Linked DNA regions of Tribolium castaneum. The protein of the gene in region 2 purifies or fractionates together with the protein of the main gene of each other region. This does not show direct contact. Links are inferred from orthologs where the notes say so. Each region holds a gene or a part of one and is shown on either strand. Other genes may lie near its edges.

Region 1 (10,827 bases), on a different chromosome or scaffold from region 2:
TGTAAATCTGGCCTTCCTTTTTATTAAAATCATTCGCAGCATTTTGGATTATTTGCCCGAAAGTCTTTTTTGTTAAAATAATATAACAGTGCAATGGTGTGTTTTATTGCTCCTCCAACTTCCCTCATAATTCCAAGATTAGGTTTTAATCTAATTTGAACGAATGAACAGTTGGGTTTGCCCCAAAGGCAAATTATGAGGAATGTGTTTTTTGTGCGTTTCAATGATTCAAACCGTTGGTTTTATTAATGAATTCAATTTCACGTTTGAAAGTCAACAAAGCACATGAGTGTGTATTTATTTTAACCAAGAAATTATTCTCTTTTGGTGAACAAATAACACTTGAGGCTTCGCAAATACTGAATAAAATTTCGAGCAAAAAATAGTTATTTTTATTAATCGGCAATTATTTTACGGAGAAAATTGCGCTATTTATTTGATCACCTTTGTGTTTTGTTGCATAATGAGAGACTGCACTGGGGAGCATTCTGTTACAAATAAATAATGATCTGTTTTCGGAAATAGTTTTTTTATTTGAAAACGTAATGTTTGTATTGCATATAAAAATCGTGTCAACACAATTAGTCACGAAAAATGGTTTTAATGAAAACAAAAAATATTTTCAGCATATTTTACTGAAGTTTTTTAATAAAAATGCAAACGAGTCTTTAAACATTACATATTTATGTTTTTGTTATTTTTAAATTCAAGTTTAACAAAAGAGTAATTAAATTCCGGGTTTTTTCGGTCAATTTTGAGTAAACTTCAAACAGTGTAACAATAAACGCTGTTTAGAAAATTCATTCAACAGTCACTCAAAGGATTTCAATTAATTTTAATCGATCATTTTTCTATGGGAACTAAATTAAAGTAAAACAAGCTGCTAAAGACTTAAGATTTATGACGCTGTCGCGTTTTCTTCAAGTTATTTTCCCCACGTTTTTCGCCTAATTATTCTTCACTTCACGAATGGCAATTGATTTTTGGTCAAACATCGAAAACATGAAACTTACAAGTTGCTAAAATTCCTTGGGCCTCTAACACAACTGGTTGCAGATCAACAGGCGTTTCAGGATGTTGCTGAAACTCTTTATCCTTCCAAGGCGCCTACATGTGTTGGAGGGGGTTGGGCCACCACCATTGGCTGCTCCCACGTTTCCTCCATAATTATATTGTTACAATATTTTGATTTATTTAGCGCAAACCAGCTATTACGACTTCAGATTTCGCTGACCGACTGGAATTAGCTCAAGCGTCACGTTTCAAACTTAAGAAATTAATTGCAACTTTTCATTAAGTTCAATAAAGCCACAAAAGATTAAATCGGACGTTTCCTACAAAAGGATTTTTCTTTATGACTTGAGCCTGATTTATTTGAAACGTCCGCCTTGTGTCGACATTTTTAAGGTTACTAGAGACATTCTTCTGTCCGGAATACTGACAAGTTGCGAAAATTTCGACGGAAATTGGAAATTATTCGTCGTGTCTTTATGGCGGAGGCGCCGGGTTTAGCTCTAATATCTCGCAGACATTGACCATGCTTGTTTTTTTAAATTTATTTTCTTCTATTTATTTGCCAACAACTGGGGTGTTGAGTGTAGCCCCAAAATTACATTTTTTTAATTTATATTTACTGAACGGACCTAAAGTTTAGGAACATTATTTTTAAATTTAAAACATGGAATGCTCACTTTTTTGCATGTTTAACTTTTTATTCACATGCATGTTAAAACTTGGGAGATAAAAATCATTTTAGTTCCAATAAAACTCCTATTATTAAAACTCATACTTTGTATGAGCATTTGTGCATCAATATTTTATGCAAGAGAACATTAAACTTTAGTTAATATAAATTAATTTTTGTGGTACATTTGATTCCCGCAAGTGGTTGATGGTAATAATTAATAACAGAGTAACATAATTTTTTCTTGCTCCTTAACGAAAAAGTGCTGAAACTCTTTGAAAATGGAAAAAATTGTCTTTTGCGGCCCAATTCGATAATTTTTTATTTTGAATTTTGCAAAATAAGTGAGTTTCAGACTGAAAAATGCACTGAAACCTTGAAAATAATGCAGTGGTGAGCTGAATTTAGTAGTTTTTGTGCAAAAAAAAAGTTAAATTTGTGATAATTTTTTTATTATTACACAAATTTAGTGATTTTTTTAGGAGATCAAAGACGAAATTTGGCAAGAATTTAGTTTTTTTGATTATTTATTAAGCAGAACCGGTGCAGTTAGGCCTTAGACAAAATGGTCGTGTAAAAAATTGAGTTTGGCGCGTATCCGTCCTGGGGTTTTTTTCTCCGTGAAAATCGGTAAACAGCGATTGATGTCAAAAATGGTGGCTTATGTTTGAAATATGTGAAGCTGAAGTAAACCTTTAACCTTTTTGTAACTTTCCCCGTTGAAAATCATGTTGAACCAAGTGTCCGTCGAGGCCGTTTATTCCGCCACGTACGTAGAGAACTATTTGGATTGCGTTGAGAACCTCCCCGATGAACTCCAACGCCTAATCTCCAGGATGCGAGAACTCGACGTCTGTTACTTGGGTAAACTTTGCTATTTTCATCCAAAAACCGGCCTCAAGCCGCCCTTTCAGCCCGCGTGCGTGAAGCCGCATACCAGACCGAGAACTGGAAAAAAATCGGTAACGATAACCCCGCCAAAAAGGCCCGGGGCTTCGCCCGCATGCAGCAAGCCCTGATCGCAGCCCAGGAACTGGGCGACGAGAAAATGAACCTCTTGCAGTCAATTCTGGACAAGATTGAGATCAAGACGCGCTTGTTGGACCAGGACTTCAAAAATTTAGGTACTTTTCGTATTTTTTTAATTTACACCATGTCAAACGCGATTGCTAGATTTTGGTAAAGACGAGACGACTCAACTCGAAAACAAGGAGCAACAGCCCCCTAATAACAACAGCAGTAGTGCGGGTTTGGTCGAGAGGCCTCCAAAGAGGGCGCGGCGCACCCGTCATGACACTTTCTCAGGCTTGGAGTCGAATCATAATGATTCAGCCCCAGTGGAGCACGTTTTGAGGAGCCAGGTGCCGTCCACGGCCAACTCGACGAAGAAGAGTGGGACTGGGAAGAAGAAGAAGCGCAAATCGAAGCAAGTGCAAGCACAGAGAGAGGAATCTCCGCCAAGGGAGGAAGAGCCGATTATTGATCCCGATGAGCCCACTTATTGTCTCTGTGATCAAATTTCTTACGGTGAAATGATTATGTGCGACAATGATTTGTGTCCAATCGAGTGGTTCCACTTTTCTTGCGTTACTTTAACCACCAAACCGAAAGGTAAATGGTATTGTCCAAAGTGTAGAGGTGATAGACCCAATGTTATGAAACCCAAGGCGCAATTTTTAAGAGAACTCGAAAAGTATAATAAGGATAAAGAGGAGAAAACATAAGTTTATTGGTGTGTGCATTTTACAGTTCTTACATAGCAATTAAATATAATTTCATAGAATGTTTTAAAATAATAAATATGTCTAACATCTCAGTGTCTGGTAATGTTAACCTAACCAGGAACCTCGAAAAATCCTGATAAAAGAAAACCAAAAATTCCTAAATCCTCCAAACCCGCCAACTTGCAATTTCTAAATTAAAGGGAAAAAAGAAGAAGAAAAACGCAATTTAATATTTTTGTGTGTATTTTACATTTCCGACATAGCAATTAAATATAATTTTAATATTTTAAAATAATAAATATATCTAACATCATTTCTTTATCATAATCCTGTGTGATGCAACTACACACAATATGGCAGTGTAAAATAAAATAAAGTAACAAAAATGTGTAAGTAAAAAATCATCCAATCACCTAACAATAAATAACACTTTTTATAATTTAAAATGGCGTCAATACAAACTATCAGACTTGAAAATCAAACACGCCTAGACTGAGGTAAGCTAAACAAAATGACTACAATTTTATTAGACCCAAACTCCATGCGGGTTTTTATTGGTTGGTACAGCATTTTCCAATTGTCGAGGCGAACCAATCATTTTTCGGGTACTTCCCTTATTAGGACCTTCCAAAATCGCTCGTAAATCCTCAGGTGGCGCTATAGTCAAACTTTGTAAATTCGCCTCTTTCATTTCAGTCACAAGCAATTCCACTTGTTTTTTCTTTTCGATTATTGCCGTCTCAAGTGCGGCAACCTAAAAAACAATAAATTATCAAACAGAGGGATAAAACCACTCACTTCTTTTTTGAGCGTTTCGGCAGTCAGGTGATGCAATTCAGTGCTCTGTTTTGCCAACTCGATATCTCTCTGTAACCGCTCCATTTCGACTAGGAGACTTTTTTCCATTTGTTTGCGTGATTCAGAACGACGCGATAAAGCTCTTTGTTCGATTTGTAACTCGTCCATTACTAAACGAATTTTATTTTTGCACTGCAAAAGTTCAGTTTCGCAATTTGCAAGCTTTGATCTCAAGAGAGTTATTTCGGATTTGAGCGTTTTCTCTTGCTGTTTCACTATTTCGCATTCTTCCTCAATGTAATGCAATGCCTGAATCTAGGGACAATTTTTTATTATTGAAAATTTATTATTTGAAACAAACCTGGTCTTGATTTAATTTCGTAGCATTAGTCATTGCGAGAATTTCCTGCGAAATGTATTCTAATTGCATTTGTTTTTCCCGTTCTTTACTCTCCCAAAACACAATTTCGGCATCAAACTACAAAAAAATAATTTCTAATAAGAATTAATTAAATTAATTGTGGCACCTTTGTTAGGTCTGCTTGCTGATTGGACAATTTCTCCCTCTGGTAATTAATAAGCGCGATTAATTCCCTATACTGGGCATTGTAGAGTACAGACTCCTGTAATTTGTGTGTTTTGTTTGACTCTTGTAGGATATTTTTTTTGGGGGGCGGCGGATCGCGGTAAGGGGGCGGTGCCGGTGGGTGGATTCTATGACTAGGAGATTCGGATTTTTTGGGTGAATTTTGAGATTCGCGCACTTGTAGTGTTTTTACATGCGGTACACCTTTCACAACGCCTACTTGTGACTTCTCGGTGTGTTTTTGTGGTGATTCCACTATGATATTAGCTGATGATGATGATGTTTTTGGTTTGGTTGTTGGTGTCATGGGTTTGCTTTCGCTCCATTGGAGGATGAATTGGACGTCGTTTGAGTACTCACCCCATTTCATCAAAATCTGCGTGTTTATTATTTTTTTTAATTTTTTTTGGGGGGTGGGTTTACAAACCTTGAGGGGGTTTTCATTGGGGGCCAACTGTCGTTCGTTGTTCCTCCACCGTTCGATAAGTGTGAATCGGCCTGACTTACCCGTGGCGTGAGCTAAAGCAAACACTACATCCTGCAATTTGACAAGTGTGAGAAATTATCAAATGGGGGGCGTCAGGGGGTACCTGACACGTTGTCGTCTCAGTCACCCCACACACTATCCGTTGGATTCCCTCGACCCAAACTTTTAACTCCATATTGCACTACAAAAACTATTTTATTCACAATTATCCTCACACAATTATCGCACTCACCTAATTCCAGGTTTTGGCATTTTGATCAATCGAAGCACGGTGGTAACAAACCCCGAGTTTACGTAACTAAATTAAAGCGACGTTTATTCAAAATTTGCATTTTTTTACATGTTTTGGGGCAAAAATGTGCAATTTATTTTTATTTATAAACGTCAAATATTTTTTACTCTTGTCACTTGCCACCAACCCAACGGGTCAAAAGCACCAAACCCGCCAACTTGATTCAAAGTGAAAGAAAAGTCGCGTAATAGTTGTGTCTTTTTGTGCCAATTTTTAGACTTTTCCAAGTGTTTAGTGCCGATAAAGTGGGGAAAGTATGTGCGTAAGTTGCAATTTTCTCACATTTTTGTCTATTGAGCGGTAAACTTCTTGAAATATTGTCATCGAAACGTAACCAAAAGATAACTCAAATACGAAAAATCCTAACAGACTATTAAGTTGCGGGTTTTTCACCGATTTTTCAGTCAAAAAGGTGGAATTTCTCACCTTTGACTGAAAATTTATGATTATTGATTATTTTTTCATACCACTAAGACCAAAAATCCCTAATTTGATCAAACCCGCCAACTTGTTTTAAATTGAAAGAAAAGTCTCGTAATAATCGTGGGCTTTGGTGTTGATTCCTAAACTTTTCCAAGTGTTTACAAGTGTTTAGTGACGGAAAATTGGAGAAAATGTTTGCGTAAGTTTTCTTTTTGTCTATTACTTGTGAAAATAAAAAAAATTAAAGCGGAAACCTAACCAAAAAAATTCTTTTTTACTGCACCGACGCCAACTAGTCCAAATTGGCGGGAAAGTTCCGCATCAAATCCTAAGTTTAGTGTGTGTTTTTTCTAAATTTCCGTGTGTTTAGTGTTGTTAAACCGTGAAAATGTTATCGTAAGTATTGAATTTTCGCATACAATCCACCAAAATTCGCACATTAGCTCTCCAATCAAACCTAACCAAACCGACGACTCAAACAAGGAAAACATCTCTGATAACCCCTTAAATATCGGAGACACGTGTCGCGACACCAAAACCAGTAGTTTGCCCCTTGAGCAAGAACACGAAGAGTACCAATACCTGAGCCACATTAAACTAATCATCGATAAGGGTGTAAAAAAAAGTGACCGCACCGGTGTTGGCACTTTTTCGATTTTTGGAGCCCAAATGCGCTACTCCCTCCGCGACAATGTCTTCCCTCTGTTGACCACGAAACGTGTGTTCTGGCGCGGAGTCGTTGAGGAGTTGCTTTGGTTCATCAAAGGCTCAACGAACGCAAACGAATTAAAAGAGAAAAATGTGCATATTTGGGATGCGAACAGCACACGAGAGTTTCTCGATTCTGTGGGGCTCAATGAGCGCGAGGAGGGCGATCTGGGACCGGTTTATGGTTTCCAGTGGCGCCACTTTGGGGCCGAGTACAAGGGGATGCACTGGGATTACGCCAATCAAGGGATTGACCAATTGGCTCATGTTATCGAAACAATTCGTAATAAACCCAACGATAGGAGAATCATAATGTGTGCGTGGAATCCAGTGGATATTCCCGAAATGGCCCTCCCGCCTTGTCACTGCCTCGTGCAGTTTTTTGTGGCAAATGGGGAATTGTCGTGTTTGTTGTACCAAAGGTCGGCTGATATGGGGCTGGGGGTGCCGTTCAATATTGCAAGTTATTCCTTGTTGACGTATATGATTGCACATGTTACAGGATTGAAGGTTTTTATTGGCTCAAAGTTGCGTCAAATTTTTTAGTTAGTTATTTTAGCCCGGGGAATTTATTCATACGTTAGGGGACAGTCATGTCTACTTGAATCATGTCGAACCGTTGCAAGAACAATTAAAGAGGACACCAAGGCCGTTTCCAACATTAAAAATCAAAAGACAAGTTTCCAGTATTGAGGATTTTGTTTTTGATGATTTTGAGTTGAGTGGGTACGAGCCCCATCCCAAATTGAGTATGCCGATGGCTGTTTGAAGTAAAAATATGTGTTTAATGTACTTATCTGTTTATCAAATATACGTCATTTTTTTATTTTTGTGAAAATATTATTCCGCATAAATCCTGTCCTAGAGGTCGTCACAAACTTTGTTTCGTTATTTTTTTTAATAACACACATCATTTTAACAAAAACATTTTATTTAAACTATTCTCGCATGTCTAGCGCCACGTTAAAGTGCCCCATTTTGCACTTGTTCACACCTAGCTTCACATTCAAATTCTCACAATTACTGTTATTATTATCTTTCATAAGGTCAGAGGCCATTATACCGCCTATGGTACTAATGGTGCCAACACCTTCACTTGCATAATCTGGTAAAATTCTCTTGTATAATTTTCTAGCCGCAAATTGCAACAAAACCATTTCAGCCAACATTAGTGTATTATGAATTACTAAAAGAAAAAATTGTAATAATTACGAGGCAATAAAAAAATAATTACAATTTCCATAAACTGTCGGTGTTATTGGTGGTCGACACGGCAAAATATCAATCATAACTAGTCCTCTAGTGGCAGCTCCTTGCATTTTTGCTAAAACTAGGACTAACTGAAGGACGATAAATTTCGAAGGCATTAAATATTCGTCCCCTAGGAAGCCTTTAAGGAGGTTGATTGTCATCGCCATGCCCCAAACCCCGAATAATATCGAAATTATTATCACTGGCTGCAAGTACATGTAATTGACTTGATACAAACTCTGGAATTTTTAATATAGTTCGAACAGTTTGTGCGTTTCTTGATTAAATACCTCACGTTCGGCCCACATCACTAAAAGGACCAAATAAACCAATCCTTGAACGACTGGTAATTGCAAAACGAGTAATCGTAACCGCTGAATTGTATTCCTGTAAAAAAAAATCGTAAAGATTGGCTTTAATCGAATTACAACTTTACTTTGTGACTTCAATCGGCGGTAAAAAGAAGCAACAAGGCCAACAACAACACGGCATTACTCTCAAATTTAAACTTCCGGGTTTGACTTTGCGAATTAGCTCGGCTTCGCCTCCACAATACGCCACAAAAAGACAAAATAATTGATACATTCCTGCCATAAAAGCACCCTGGGTTATGGCTTCGCTTAAAAGGTGGGCCCGAGGGACCAAAATTGCAAAATAAGTCACTAGAGCTACAACCTACAACCAAAATTATTCGTCTGAAAAAAACCATTTGTATAAATATACCGGATAAACACCGATGACGAAGGCTGAATATGTTTTTACTCGAGACGAGGAATTTTTTATTATGTATTGGAGAGTATCGATGAACATTACTAAAACTAACACAACTGCCAACGTTCCCAGGGTTACTAGAGTCACCCCGTAGACATTTGTGGCTGAAATAAAAATTTTAATTAATTAAAAAAAAATTAACCCGCCACTGGTCGCACTGCCAGTGACAGTTTCCATAGTAACTCGATTGTTATTTTTGAATTTAGCGTGTCGGTCGACTCGTCAAGGATGGGAGAAGGGTAAATGAATAGCGTGTGTGCAATATTTGATTGCTCAATTTTGGGGAAATCTATTAAAAGAAACGACCGGTTAAGAGTTGCACAACACGTTTGCATTTTTCGGATTCGCGATATCTTGTGTTTTCCCCGTTTTACATAATAATATTTATGTAACGTGGAAGATGTGGAGGAAAAAAACGGATATATGTAGCACGACCGGAGAGAAAACAAGGTGAAAGTCAAAAAAAGTCAAAGAAAAGTTTTAATTTCAGTTTCTTGGGTGTTGCGTAATCGAAATGTGGATCATGACGGTCAGTACAGTAATTAATATGGTGTGTTCCTGTTATTATTTGAAATGTCTTGGGGAAAAGTGGACCGGATGGTTTGTTGGAATTTTTACCTGATAGGTATTCCGGGATTGATGGTATATCCAAAGAGGCACACGTTAAATTTTTGTTGAAAAAATCCATTTTTTTTTCGTTGCTTATCACTCACTTATCGATAATTATTTCACTTTCTTTGTCATTTTAGTTGGTTTATTCAACAGTTTGTATAAATTTAAAGTCGCATGTCTGTGTTATTGACGCAATTTTACTAATACCATGCCAATGAATGGACTGAGGTATACATTCCACCAACTGAAAGACAAGAGGGGGTCGCACGCCAACTTTCTTAAAGTTACATTAAATATTGAGCAACTTTGTCAATGACTGCACCACAACATTTATGCGAAATGACCTTACAAGAAAGCCATTTTATCACCGACAAAATTCAAGATATGCAAAAATAAATATGCACAGAAAACGTTTTGTTAAAAAATTAAACTCACGTTTTGTTCGAAATATTTTCTGTTAATACAAGAAAAATTCATTAAAAATTAAATTGTACAATTAAAATTGTATTTAAATGACGAATTGTTTCTTTTTTTGTTAATTTTTTTTTCACATTAAAGCTATTACAGTATATGAAAGTATATTTTTAACAAATCTCAAAAACTGATAGGTAATCACAGAATTCAGTGTTTATTGCTTTAAGTTTAAACAAGTTAGTTTGTTAAATATCTAACTATTAGCTATTACTTTTGTATTTTGATTTTTTTAACATGTTTGATTAAAAAAAATCAGTGATCCTTATTAAATTAATTAATTACGTCTCTTTTAATTATAATGAACACAATTAGAAGAAAAAATTATATCTTATCGTCTGAAAAGATATTATCTCACCACTTTAAGAAAAATCTTACCGTTTTTCTACCTATATATCAAATCGATTTGTAAACATTTAAGATTAGAAACATCGCAGGTATCTAAAAGTCTGTAAACACCATCCAAGTTTCAATAACTTGAATCGATAAGATAAATCGTACGTAATTCAAGGAACGAGTTAGGTTCCCAACGCACCGAAAAAGCCACAAAAATTGAAGTAAGTACAAAGCCATTTATTCAATTATAATAATGAAATACTGTCTTGAATTTCAAAGAAAACGATTGTGAATTGATTAAAAAAATAATTATCACGTGTGGCTGTGTGAAAAAACCTTATCGTGAATTTTTTCCAGGTGATAAAATGATTGTGCTTTTAATTCTAATTTTGGAAGTAGTGACCATAGTCCAAGGCGGGTGCCCCATCCGTTGTACTTGCACCCAAAACTCAATAACTTGTGTCCAGTCAAGTCTAGAGTACGTGCCTTATTTCGAAAGTCTGGATAACAACCCCGTCATAATCGACCTTTCGGGGAACCCCATAACATTAATCGACATCGACGATTTCAGCTTTGATAAAAGCGACCAAGTCAAAGAGATTTATCTAAACAGTACCTCCTTAAGCATTATTGACGATCACGCCTTTGACGAGCTTGAAAACTTGCAAGAACTCTACCTCAGCG
Region 2 (9,333 bases):
TTTTCAGCCCTTATCGCATCTGCCCCCTCCTACCCAACCGGCGGCGGCCTTGGTGAATGCAACGTTACCGTTGGCGGCGACGGCGGTGGTCAATTCCACACCTACTCAAGTGCCCATGCACTCCACTAGTTAGTAAAACATAGATACTGCCAATGCACTTTCGTATTTCTAAGATGTCAAAGTAAACGTTATTTATCATAAACACAGTGTCTGGACTAACTAGACTATCGTGGAAAAAATGCAGGGAGTTAATAATAAAAATCGGGATTCCGATCAGTCGTTATCGGCGTCCAGATGCGTGATAAACCGTAGATAAGCTTACTAGGCCGCCTGCATTTTTCCGAGCTAGGTTCATGCCTTATTTGGGTTAGTCTACGTCATGGTAGAGTTAGAAAGAAGAAGACTGTAAAATGCTGGACATTACACTAGTCATGTGACCACGTGTTAATCTGTGATCAGAGCTTCAATGACATAAACGCTGGACTGTTTAATCATAGATTTCATATTGTATGTGATCTGTTTATGATAATTTTGTAACTCCTAGGCCGCGTCGCAAGAATCTGTTGAATCGTTTCGTTTCGTTTCTGTCAATACTCGTCGCAAATGCATTATTGTTTGCCCCTTGAGACTGATGATGTACTAATTAAGGAGAAATTGTGAATAGTGGTAGTCGTGCAGGACAGGACCAATGTGGAAGGTTAGTGTCGTTGGGAACTAGCATTTACGTCAGCTTTTGTTTCGTCAACGAATTTTTTCGGGCCTAAATTCTGTTGTTTGCGACTGACGTGAATGGCGAGTTGGGTCAGTGGAGGGATTGTAAATAGGGTAATTCTAACAAGTGTATGAAATTGTAGATATTGGATTTTTTATTGAGGAAATTAGAGTAAGGATTATTTATTTCTGTTAGAGGTCCCGTGTGATAATTCGCTCAAAGTTCTGGATGATGGCTAACCTGTGTAGGTTGATAGTCGGTTCGCTTGCCCATCCGATTCCAGTACAGCCGCAGCAGTCTTTCCGTTAACTAAACCAATGTTCACACTCACAGCTTCTTCACCGTAACCTCTTGAGAAACACATTCAGATTACTGTTCTTCCCTAGAGACCGAACACACGTGCAGAGTTTTTATTTGTGGACATCCATACGTATTTCGCTGTTAGTGATATTATAGACTATGATTTTTTATACTTATTTATTTCTCATTTGTTACCCATACCCATCGGTTCGCATTGCCATCATGAATTAGCTTGTTTATGATTTAGGTTAGTCATGCCTCTGCATGTTGTTCATTATTATTGCTCACATTGAGCAAGTGTATATCAAATTCTATATTGAATGCTACGGAGACTTTGCATTTCAAGCTCCCGCCAAACACCTCAGCGCTGGCTCTCGAGTGCTCGCCACTCCCTCAATTACATAATTTCATTTAAGTTGTGTTTATTTGTATTGTAATATCACCATTCTTTATTGTATACCTTATTTAAATAAAGATGCAATACGGACAATTTTGTAACTGTATTTCTTGTTTGTATAAAATTCACTTTCTTATTATACATATCATAAATTATTTACAATATAAAATAAAGCTCGTATATACAGATAAAATGGACGCGGCGCTGAAACAGTTTCATAATACTGATGATACAAATCACAAAAAACAGTTTCAACACCTTTACACTTTAGTCCCGTTCTGTTGGCTATCGCCGATAGTCACGTGGGTCACAAAAGGCCCTCTGTGGTTACGGTTCGGGTGCCGGCCTTGAACGGGTGGTTGGCCTTGCCGAGGGAGGGAATTGGAGTTCACGTCTTGGTACATCACAGGCGGGTTACTATGGGGCACCGGGGGGTTCCCCCGACGGTTGTTAAGCATCGACTGGATACTCTCGTACTCGTAGAAGTTCGACACGGGACGAAGCTGGTTGTCGGTGCGGGTCTGGCGCTGGGAGTGGTACTGGTGCTGCTTTCGACTGATAAAAAATGTGACGTCACTAATTTAAAATTACAAACACTTTTTTTAAGTGTAAGGCCAAAGAGGACAAAACTTAAAATCTAAAAGACAAATATTTATTTAATTATTACAGTATTTGCCGCGAGTGTAAGAAAAGCGGAAATACAGAGTGATCTAAAGAGACTGTTTCACACTGCAACTAAATACAGTTTTCCAATACTTTTTAATTGAAGCTATTCTTTTGTAATCAAAAGATAAATGGTTTAAACACATTCGACAGTGGATAGCTATTGAACTCATATTAGTAGGATATGAAGCGTAAACTATTTCTTCTATTGTTTTTTTTGAAAAGACGTAGTTTGATCTACATGTCATATAAATAAATTGTAGTACCACCAGTGGAAATAAAATGTTTGTTAAAAAAAAGAAAACATCGATAGACTGAGTCAATAGTCGGTTAGTTCTGAATTTTTTAAATATGCAACCAACAATACTGATTTAATTAATGTTTTGAAAAATCAAACAAAGTATCCAAGTAGGAAGTGCAATTAGTATTTTTGGTTGCATCTTAGGACATGTCAGAAATAACCCACTATTGACTCACCCTGTATACGCAAGTGATAATCTGAACTATGTCACAGGAACTGTTGTATTATTTGGTATCTTATTTTTTTTCGAAGTCTTCAACAATTCTAAGACCGAAGGTAAGTTTGTATCTTGCTATTTCATGTATTTTATTTGAATTTTTTACACTGACGGCAATCAGTCAATCTCCAGTAACTATAAAATTTATATTTTGCGCATTTTCATTTTAGGAAAATTTATTTTTGAACTCCTACTGAAAGCACAACAGAAAGGTAGCATAGTTACCTTTTTCGTTTTTCTTTTTGTGAATGAAGTTATTAAACAGGGGTGTCCAAATGATCAAGAAAATAGCATTATATTAGAAAGTGAAGTAAGCCCAAAAATCATAGTACTTCGGAATGAAAGAATAAAGAATACAGAGACTAATATTACACAGCAAGAAAAATCTAGTCAGCTGTGAATACACAATTACTTAGCCCATCCAAAAACTTCTGAAAAAAAAAAGGACCAACAAAAGAAGATACGAATTGAAAAAGACATCGAAAGAGGAAATTAAACAACAGAAATCTGTATAATTAAAAATTATTTGCTCAATCTGCCTAAAAGAAATACAAGGAAGGTTATTCCTAACATTTGTGAAGTATGAACACTTCTTTCACAACCGTTGTGTTCCCAGATGTCACAAGGAACACATTATCGATGATGAAAATCAAGACTTACAGCATCCCTATTATAGGGATGACAATAGTGAATGTTGGCTGGATAAGTTAATATATGTCGATGAGGAAGAAATAGAAGCAAAAAGTGATAAAACTAACGAAGAAGAAAAAAAAACTGATAAAGGACAAAATGACTAAGAGTGATCGTGATCGAGATGATTTATATGACGTGAATTATTAATTAAGCATTAGATTTGATTTGGAACTTTGTTGGAAATTAAACAAACTTTGATTTTACTTCTACTTTTGTCATGCAAATCAAGGCATCTCGGGACAGGTCCATAACTATAATTTTTCCACTTAATAAATAAAAATGCTGAGGAAAAAAATTGAATGCAGGTTGTAACATTCTATAATAATTCGCATTTTCTGCACATTTCAATCTTTACTTTGGAATTACGCAATTATCTATATCTTTATTCTGAAGGCGGTAATGATTTTTCCAGTTGAGAATTTTGCTTAACTGTTCAATAACTGTGCACTTTACCCTAATAAACACGTTGGATGTAGAAAAACAATGTTTTTGTGATCAGACATGGCGCCATCTGTTGGGTAAAAACAGGTCCCCTTTGGCCTTAAAACTCGAGGACTAGGTTGCATGCATCACATTTTCAGACGTTATTCAAGTGTTAATTTTTTGGAACAAGAGTCACGTTACACAATCACCGGCAAGCGTGCATGCAATTTAAAAAATTAGTCGCAAAGCTCAAGAGTGTGTAAAGGGAAAAAGTGCATACCTTTCTTCCTCCACCTTTAACCTTTGCTGTTGAACTTGCAGACGCATCTGAACTATCTGACTGTCAGATAGTGGATCTTTACGGCTGCGTGGACAAAATACAATTATGACAATGACAACACATAAACATCATAACATAAAAAACAGAACGTTATGTCATGCAACAAATCAGAGTTAGTAACAAATGAAATGTGCACAACGTAGACACTGAGAGGGGCCCAATATTTCCATAACCTTTGACTTATTTTGATGGGGGCTTACCTTAGGTGGTTTTGCAGCTCGTTGTAGTTGACGTAGTGGGTGAAAGGGACCGAATCGGTGATTCCCGACCGGCTGCCAGGCCTGCCACCGTACTCCCCGAAATTCCCCTAAAAAAATTATTATTTTTTGCTTTTTCTCCAGAGTTACATACTTGTTGTCCATAGATCGGCTCTCTCTCATCCGACTGGTAGTAAGTGTGTCTTACTCTATGGTCGTGAATTTTCCGCCTCTGCCCTTGCTGATCAACGGTGACGTGATTCCGGTACTTGATAGGTGGCGCCACCGAATTCTCCGGAATCACTTGGACCTGTTCAGCATGTCGGTGCACAAAACCGTGCCTCTGATACAACGGCTCTCTCTGCTGTTGCATCATTTGTTGCACACGTTGTTGCTGCTGCTGTTGATGTTGTTGTTGTTGTTGTTCCTGGGTAGAATTCTCATGTTGTTGTTGTTGCTGTTGGTAATTCTGTTCCGCTTGTTGTTGATTGTTATTAACATTGGGGTCAAACTCATTGGTCGGATGGTAGTGTTGTATATCAATGTTGGCAAATTCCATTTTCCGGTGTTTTCCAAACCGGAACATTGAACCGATGCCTTTCAACAAACTCGGTTTCTTTTTTCCCGCCTTGTGTTTACTGTCAAGGGCCGCATTAAGGGAGGATTGACGTGGGGCCCCTCTCACGTTGTTAAAACCGTCAACTTCGCGCTCTTCCATTGGGCCGTCGAGCAACCAGTGTTTCTTTGCGCCTGAAAATCAACCAATTAGAAAAACAAAAGGGTAATTTGATATGAATTACTTATTTCCGATTGGTGGTTCGGGTCGACGATGTGTTTGTCCACAGCGGCCCTAAAGCTCTCCTCACAGCCCCGTCCTCGTATCACTTTAAGGGCGCCCGAAGGGCCCCTGTAGCTGTAAGCCGGGTCGCCCTCTTCCTGCATCTGAATCTGAAAAAAATGCAAATCAGAGTTGGATCACAATTGAAGATTGAATTAAACTCAAAAAAATTAAAAGAAAAAACTTCAACTCTCGCTCGCAGCCACAAAAAATGTGGTAACACAATTGGGGTCCTCTATAACTATAAAAATTACTAAATTGTTGGTAAACCAATAAACAAGCTATAGAGAATATTAATGCATAATTAATAATAATAACAATAATAATAATAATAATAATACGAATAATAGTAACAATAAAAATAATAAAAAAGGGCCTTTATTGAATAAATTTAAACAATAAGAACAGATGGGAAAGCGAAGTCTAGCTTGAAGTTATTCAACTTAACCTCGAAGAAAAAAATGAAATTAATAAAAAATATATAAAAAATTAAAATAAACTTTATAAATAATCTTGAAATGAAAAAATACTTAAAAACTAAAAGAAAAACCATTGTCAGTCTCTTAATAAGTAAGAAATTAGAAAGAATTCTTTAAGATGAGAGGCAAAAAATGATCAGAAAAAAACTTTTGCATTTATTATCAACAAACAGCCAATTCAGTTGAGCAAACTTAATTATTAAAAACAAATTTTTAGTTTTACTCTTTATTGTAAACACTGACTCCAGAATAAAAAATTTCCATGTATGTATATGTTGTATCTCTAACGTAAATTTTTTTAGAATTATTTCTTTATGATTGAGTGTTTCTAACGTAGAATGACCGGCGGAATCCAAATTTGCAAGAATCAGATCGCTACGACTAACCGTTCGGCAGATATCGTCAAAAATATGGTCTCGTTACAAAAATGTCAACTAAACTTACATCATCATCTGTTAATTTTTTGGAATTATTTTTTTATAATTAAGTGTTCCTAACGTAGAATGACCGGCGGAATCCAAATTTGCAAGAACCAGATCGCCACGACTAACCGTTCGGAAGATATCGTCAAAAATATGATTTCGTTACAAAAATGTCTCAACTAAGCTTACATCATTATATGTAAATTTTTGGAAATTATTTCTTTATGATTGAGTGTTTCTAACGTAAAATGACCGGCGGAATACAAATTTGCAAAAATCAAGTCGCTACGACTAACCGTTCGGAAAATATCGTCAAAAATATAGCCTCGTTACAAAAAGTCTCAACTAAACTTACGTCATAATCTGTCAATTTTTTGGAGTTAGTTTCTTATTATTCGGAAGTAAAATTATCGTTGGGGGCGCCACTGAACTAGGTCGAAAACAGTAACCATAAATAGCGGGAAAATGTTTATTCGGATATTTTGAGCGTTGTACGAATTTTGAGGCTTCCCAATTATTGCATTGCCTATGCGGAATGACTATTGTGTCTTTGGTGCAAGAAACAAATGTTGACAAATTAGTGATGACGAGGAAAACACGAATAAGGAATGACTGTTTAGTTCACTTTCTTTATTGGAAAATTATTACAAAGACATTGAAAAGCCTACATTTTGGAACAATTTATGCTTAAATGAATCAGCAGTTGTTAATCTTAATTGTAGTTTTGTAGACTTACCAAAGTATTTCATGAGTTTGTCAGTGGAAAATTCTAACCTAAAATTCACACACTTTACTAATTTATTGGTTTCTTGAGCCCAACTTTGTGTTCACTGTGATCCATTATTTACAGTCTGCAATTAGACAACTGTTTAATAACACTTTGTAATCAAATTTTAATTTTTTTTCACTTTTTATCCACTTTCAAATTCCAACAATTAACACTTTATACCGCAGACCAAGATCAAAACTAGTATTTACCACCACGTACAAAAGTACGTGATACTCTCTAATATAAGTATATAACACTATAGACGCAAAATTGTTAAACAATTCGTTAAATGTCAGTTAAATGTGGAATTACGAAAATTTCGTTACTGTTTTCAACATAGTTCAAAAGTCATCACCAGAGGGCGTCTAGTTAATTTTATTTCCGAATTGAGTTCAAACTATGTTATATGTGAATGATCAGATAGAGAGATGTCGATGTTAAGAATAAGCGAAAAATAAATGCAGACAAATGACATGAAAAAAGCTTATCAATTTTTAACCAACCTAGGTCTTTAATTTTTTTCTGATACATGATAATCATGCTTCTTCAAACCAAAAATAAAGCGGTAGCAATTGTTTTGAATTTTTTGCAGACGACAGATGTTTGTTGTTTGTCATAATAATGAGTCCATAATTTATAAACGAAAGCACAAGGGTTGAAAGTTTTTTCCGAAGTTTAAAATTTAAGATATTATAATTTAAAGTACAGAAGTTCGAGAGCAACATTAACATTTTTTAAAAACAGATGTGAGATAACACATAATTAGTAAATCTTAAAATCCTTAGGGAAGACTTTGATTATGAATTTTCAGCAGTAAGAGAATGACTTGGAGCAAAATTCATTTGCAAATGTCTGTCTTCTGCAAAAGTTTGTACCTTTGTACCTTTAGCTAGGTTTAAAAGTTCAGCTGTATATAATATATTACAAGTAAGATAGGTTCCAAAATGACCCATTTCCATTCTTTCATTCAGTTTAGAAAAAATTGGGTATTCAAATTTAATGATAGTAAAACAATATAAATAAAAGTGACTTACTTCTTGCACCATCGTTTGTAGCGACTCAAGACTAGACGACTTCTTCATCCCTAACGAAGGTCCCAATTGGCCCAACTTGTCCGCATCTGCCAAAACAACCAATCAAAACCCACACACACAAACGACAAGACTCAAGTCTTACATTCAGGATGTTCAGATGACCGATTAACACTTATAACAGACTCCACTGACCCAACTCTGACTAAGTTAGCTACAGAATGAATGAAAAATCAATTAGCACAAACACAAATGGTTTTGGTTAGCACACAACTAAACTTACTGTTACCATCCTTACTTTTTCTCTCTTCGCGTAGTTTCTTCGTCCGTTGGTAAGTATCGGTGTTTTTCGCGTCCAGAGTTGCGTGCCGCTTCTCCGACATGCTCTGTCTCCCGAACGCATCCCGGGAGAATCCTTGGGGATTCTCGAGGGATAATTGGCTGGCATAGGTCGCGTCTGTGCCTTGAATGGTGGTTTGGGAGTTGGAATCGGTGCTTTTGTTATCCGAAACCGTCGCTTTCCCGTCGGGTTCGTGCTCGTTGCGGTTTTCGGGAATACTGCCGTTGGATAAGTTCATCTTGTTGGTCATGTGGACGTTGATTCTGCAAGCACGAACGTAGCGAGTGACTCAAAGGGGGAAACAAGAACACAAACCGAGAGTTTTGATGCGTTAGGACCCTCGATCCGTACTCGTCCTCGATCAGGATTGGCTCAGCTGGGGCCACACTTAGGGTGGTGCTGGTCATGTTGCCGTAGGAGTTGTTAGCGGAGGCCAACATGCTGTTGCTCCAAGTGTCGTGTGTTGCCTAATTTTTTGTTTTATTAATTTTTTGTTAAAAATACGGATATTTAAGGGTTAGGATATGAAACTACGTACAAATAAAACTTTACCTTCTTGATTCATTAAGTCATTCGTAAGTTTTCAGAGCGATTAATTTGAAAAAATTGTTGTGGTGATATATAGTGTGAGGAAATTTTATGGGGTGGCCATGAGGCCACAAACGATCAGCTGACTCGTCGTAGCGCTCTCGCGATGTTCATATTTATCGATGAAATGGTCCGTTATAGCGCGTGCATTGGCGTAGTTTACTAGGGGTTTATACAATTAATGTTACCGGTTGATTCGTCAGAAACGTTACGATTTGCATATTTTTTTAAAAAGGACTTTAAAGAAGGATTATTTAGTTATCTACAAAATGTGCTCGAGGTGAAATCGCAACGTATTTCCCTTTGAAACGTGGTGTGGTTGAAAACATTTCAAGGGCTAAAAATGATAAATAATTAAAAAAATATTAATGTCACACCAAAGAATACTTTGAAATGAATTACAATTTCGTAATTTAGTTCTACTGGGTCATTTTTATGCTTTTTAAATAAGTACATGAGATAAAAATGTTCTTTTGACTTTTTAGATATTATTAAAATTAACAGAGAGTTAGGGCGGTTAAAAGTAAAGGTATAATATTAATAGATAAGTGACATTAATTATTTTTTAATTATTTACGAATTACGATTTTTAGCTCTCGAAATGTTATCAAAGGCGATGAACA

Evidence for each region. Proteins that work in one complex are often made in the same cells at the same time.
Region 1: the proteins of partitioning defective 3 homolog B (region 2) and RASSF8 purify together in Homo sapiens (affinity purification with mass spectrometry; 4 studies listed by BioGRID and IntAct, counting the BioPlex papers as one, with this or other methods). This does not show direct contact. The link is inferred for Tribolium castaneum from reciprocal best matches to the Homo sapiens genes PARD3 and RASSF8.

The regions. Positions count from the first base shown.
Region 1 is NC_087402.1:345,794-356,620, forward strand, and holds RASSF8 (ras association domain-containing protein 8), read right to left. Parts: upstream 5,709-10,827; 5' UTR 5,512-5,708; intron 5,461-5,511; 5' UTR 5,455-5,460; coding exon 5,383-5,454; intron 5,331-5,382; coding exon 5,220-5,330; intron 5,169-5,219; coding exon 4,734-5,168; intron 4,685-4,733; coding exon 4,568-4,684; intron 4,522-4,567; coding exon 4,207-4,521; intron 4,163-4,206; coding exon 3,935-4,162; 3' UTR 3,634-3,934; downstream 1-3,633. Other genes in the region: inhibitor of growth protein 1, read left to right, coding at 2,413-2,548, 2,599-2,808, 2,858-3,408; thymidylate synthase, read left to right, coding at 6,383-6,390, 6,438-7,212, 7,262-7,471; organic solute transporter alpha-like protein, read right to left, coding at 7,641-7,888, 7,937-8,192, 8,244-8,340, 8,390-8,628, 8,677-8,828, 9,343-9,412; slit homolog 1 protein, read left to right, coding at 10,509-10,827.
Region 2 is NC_087395.1:16,311,880-16,321,212, forward strand, and holds the end of partitioning defective 3 homolog B, read right to left. Parts: intron 8,590-9,333; coding exon 8,438-8,589; intron 8,386-8,437; coding exon 8,066-8,385; intron 7,997-8,065; coding exon 7,928-7,996; intron 7,872-7,927; coding exon 7,786-7,871; intron 5,192-7,785; coding exon 5,044-5,191; intron 4,994-5,043; coding exon 4,398-4,993; intron 4,354-4,397; coding exon 4,247-4,353; intron 4,071-4,246; coding exon 3,987-4,070; intron 1,965-3,986; coding exon 1,670-1,964; 3' UTR 1,498-1,669; downstream 1-1,497. Other genes in the region: Madm (nuclear receptor-binding protein homolog), read left to right, coding at 1-133. UniProt on the Homo sapiens protein: Adapter protein involved in asymmetrical cell division and cell polarization processes. Seems to play a central role in the formation of epithelial tight junctions. Targets the phosphatase PTEN to cell junctions.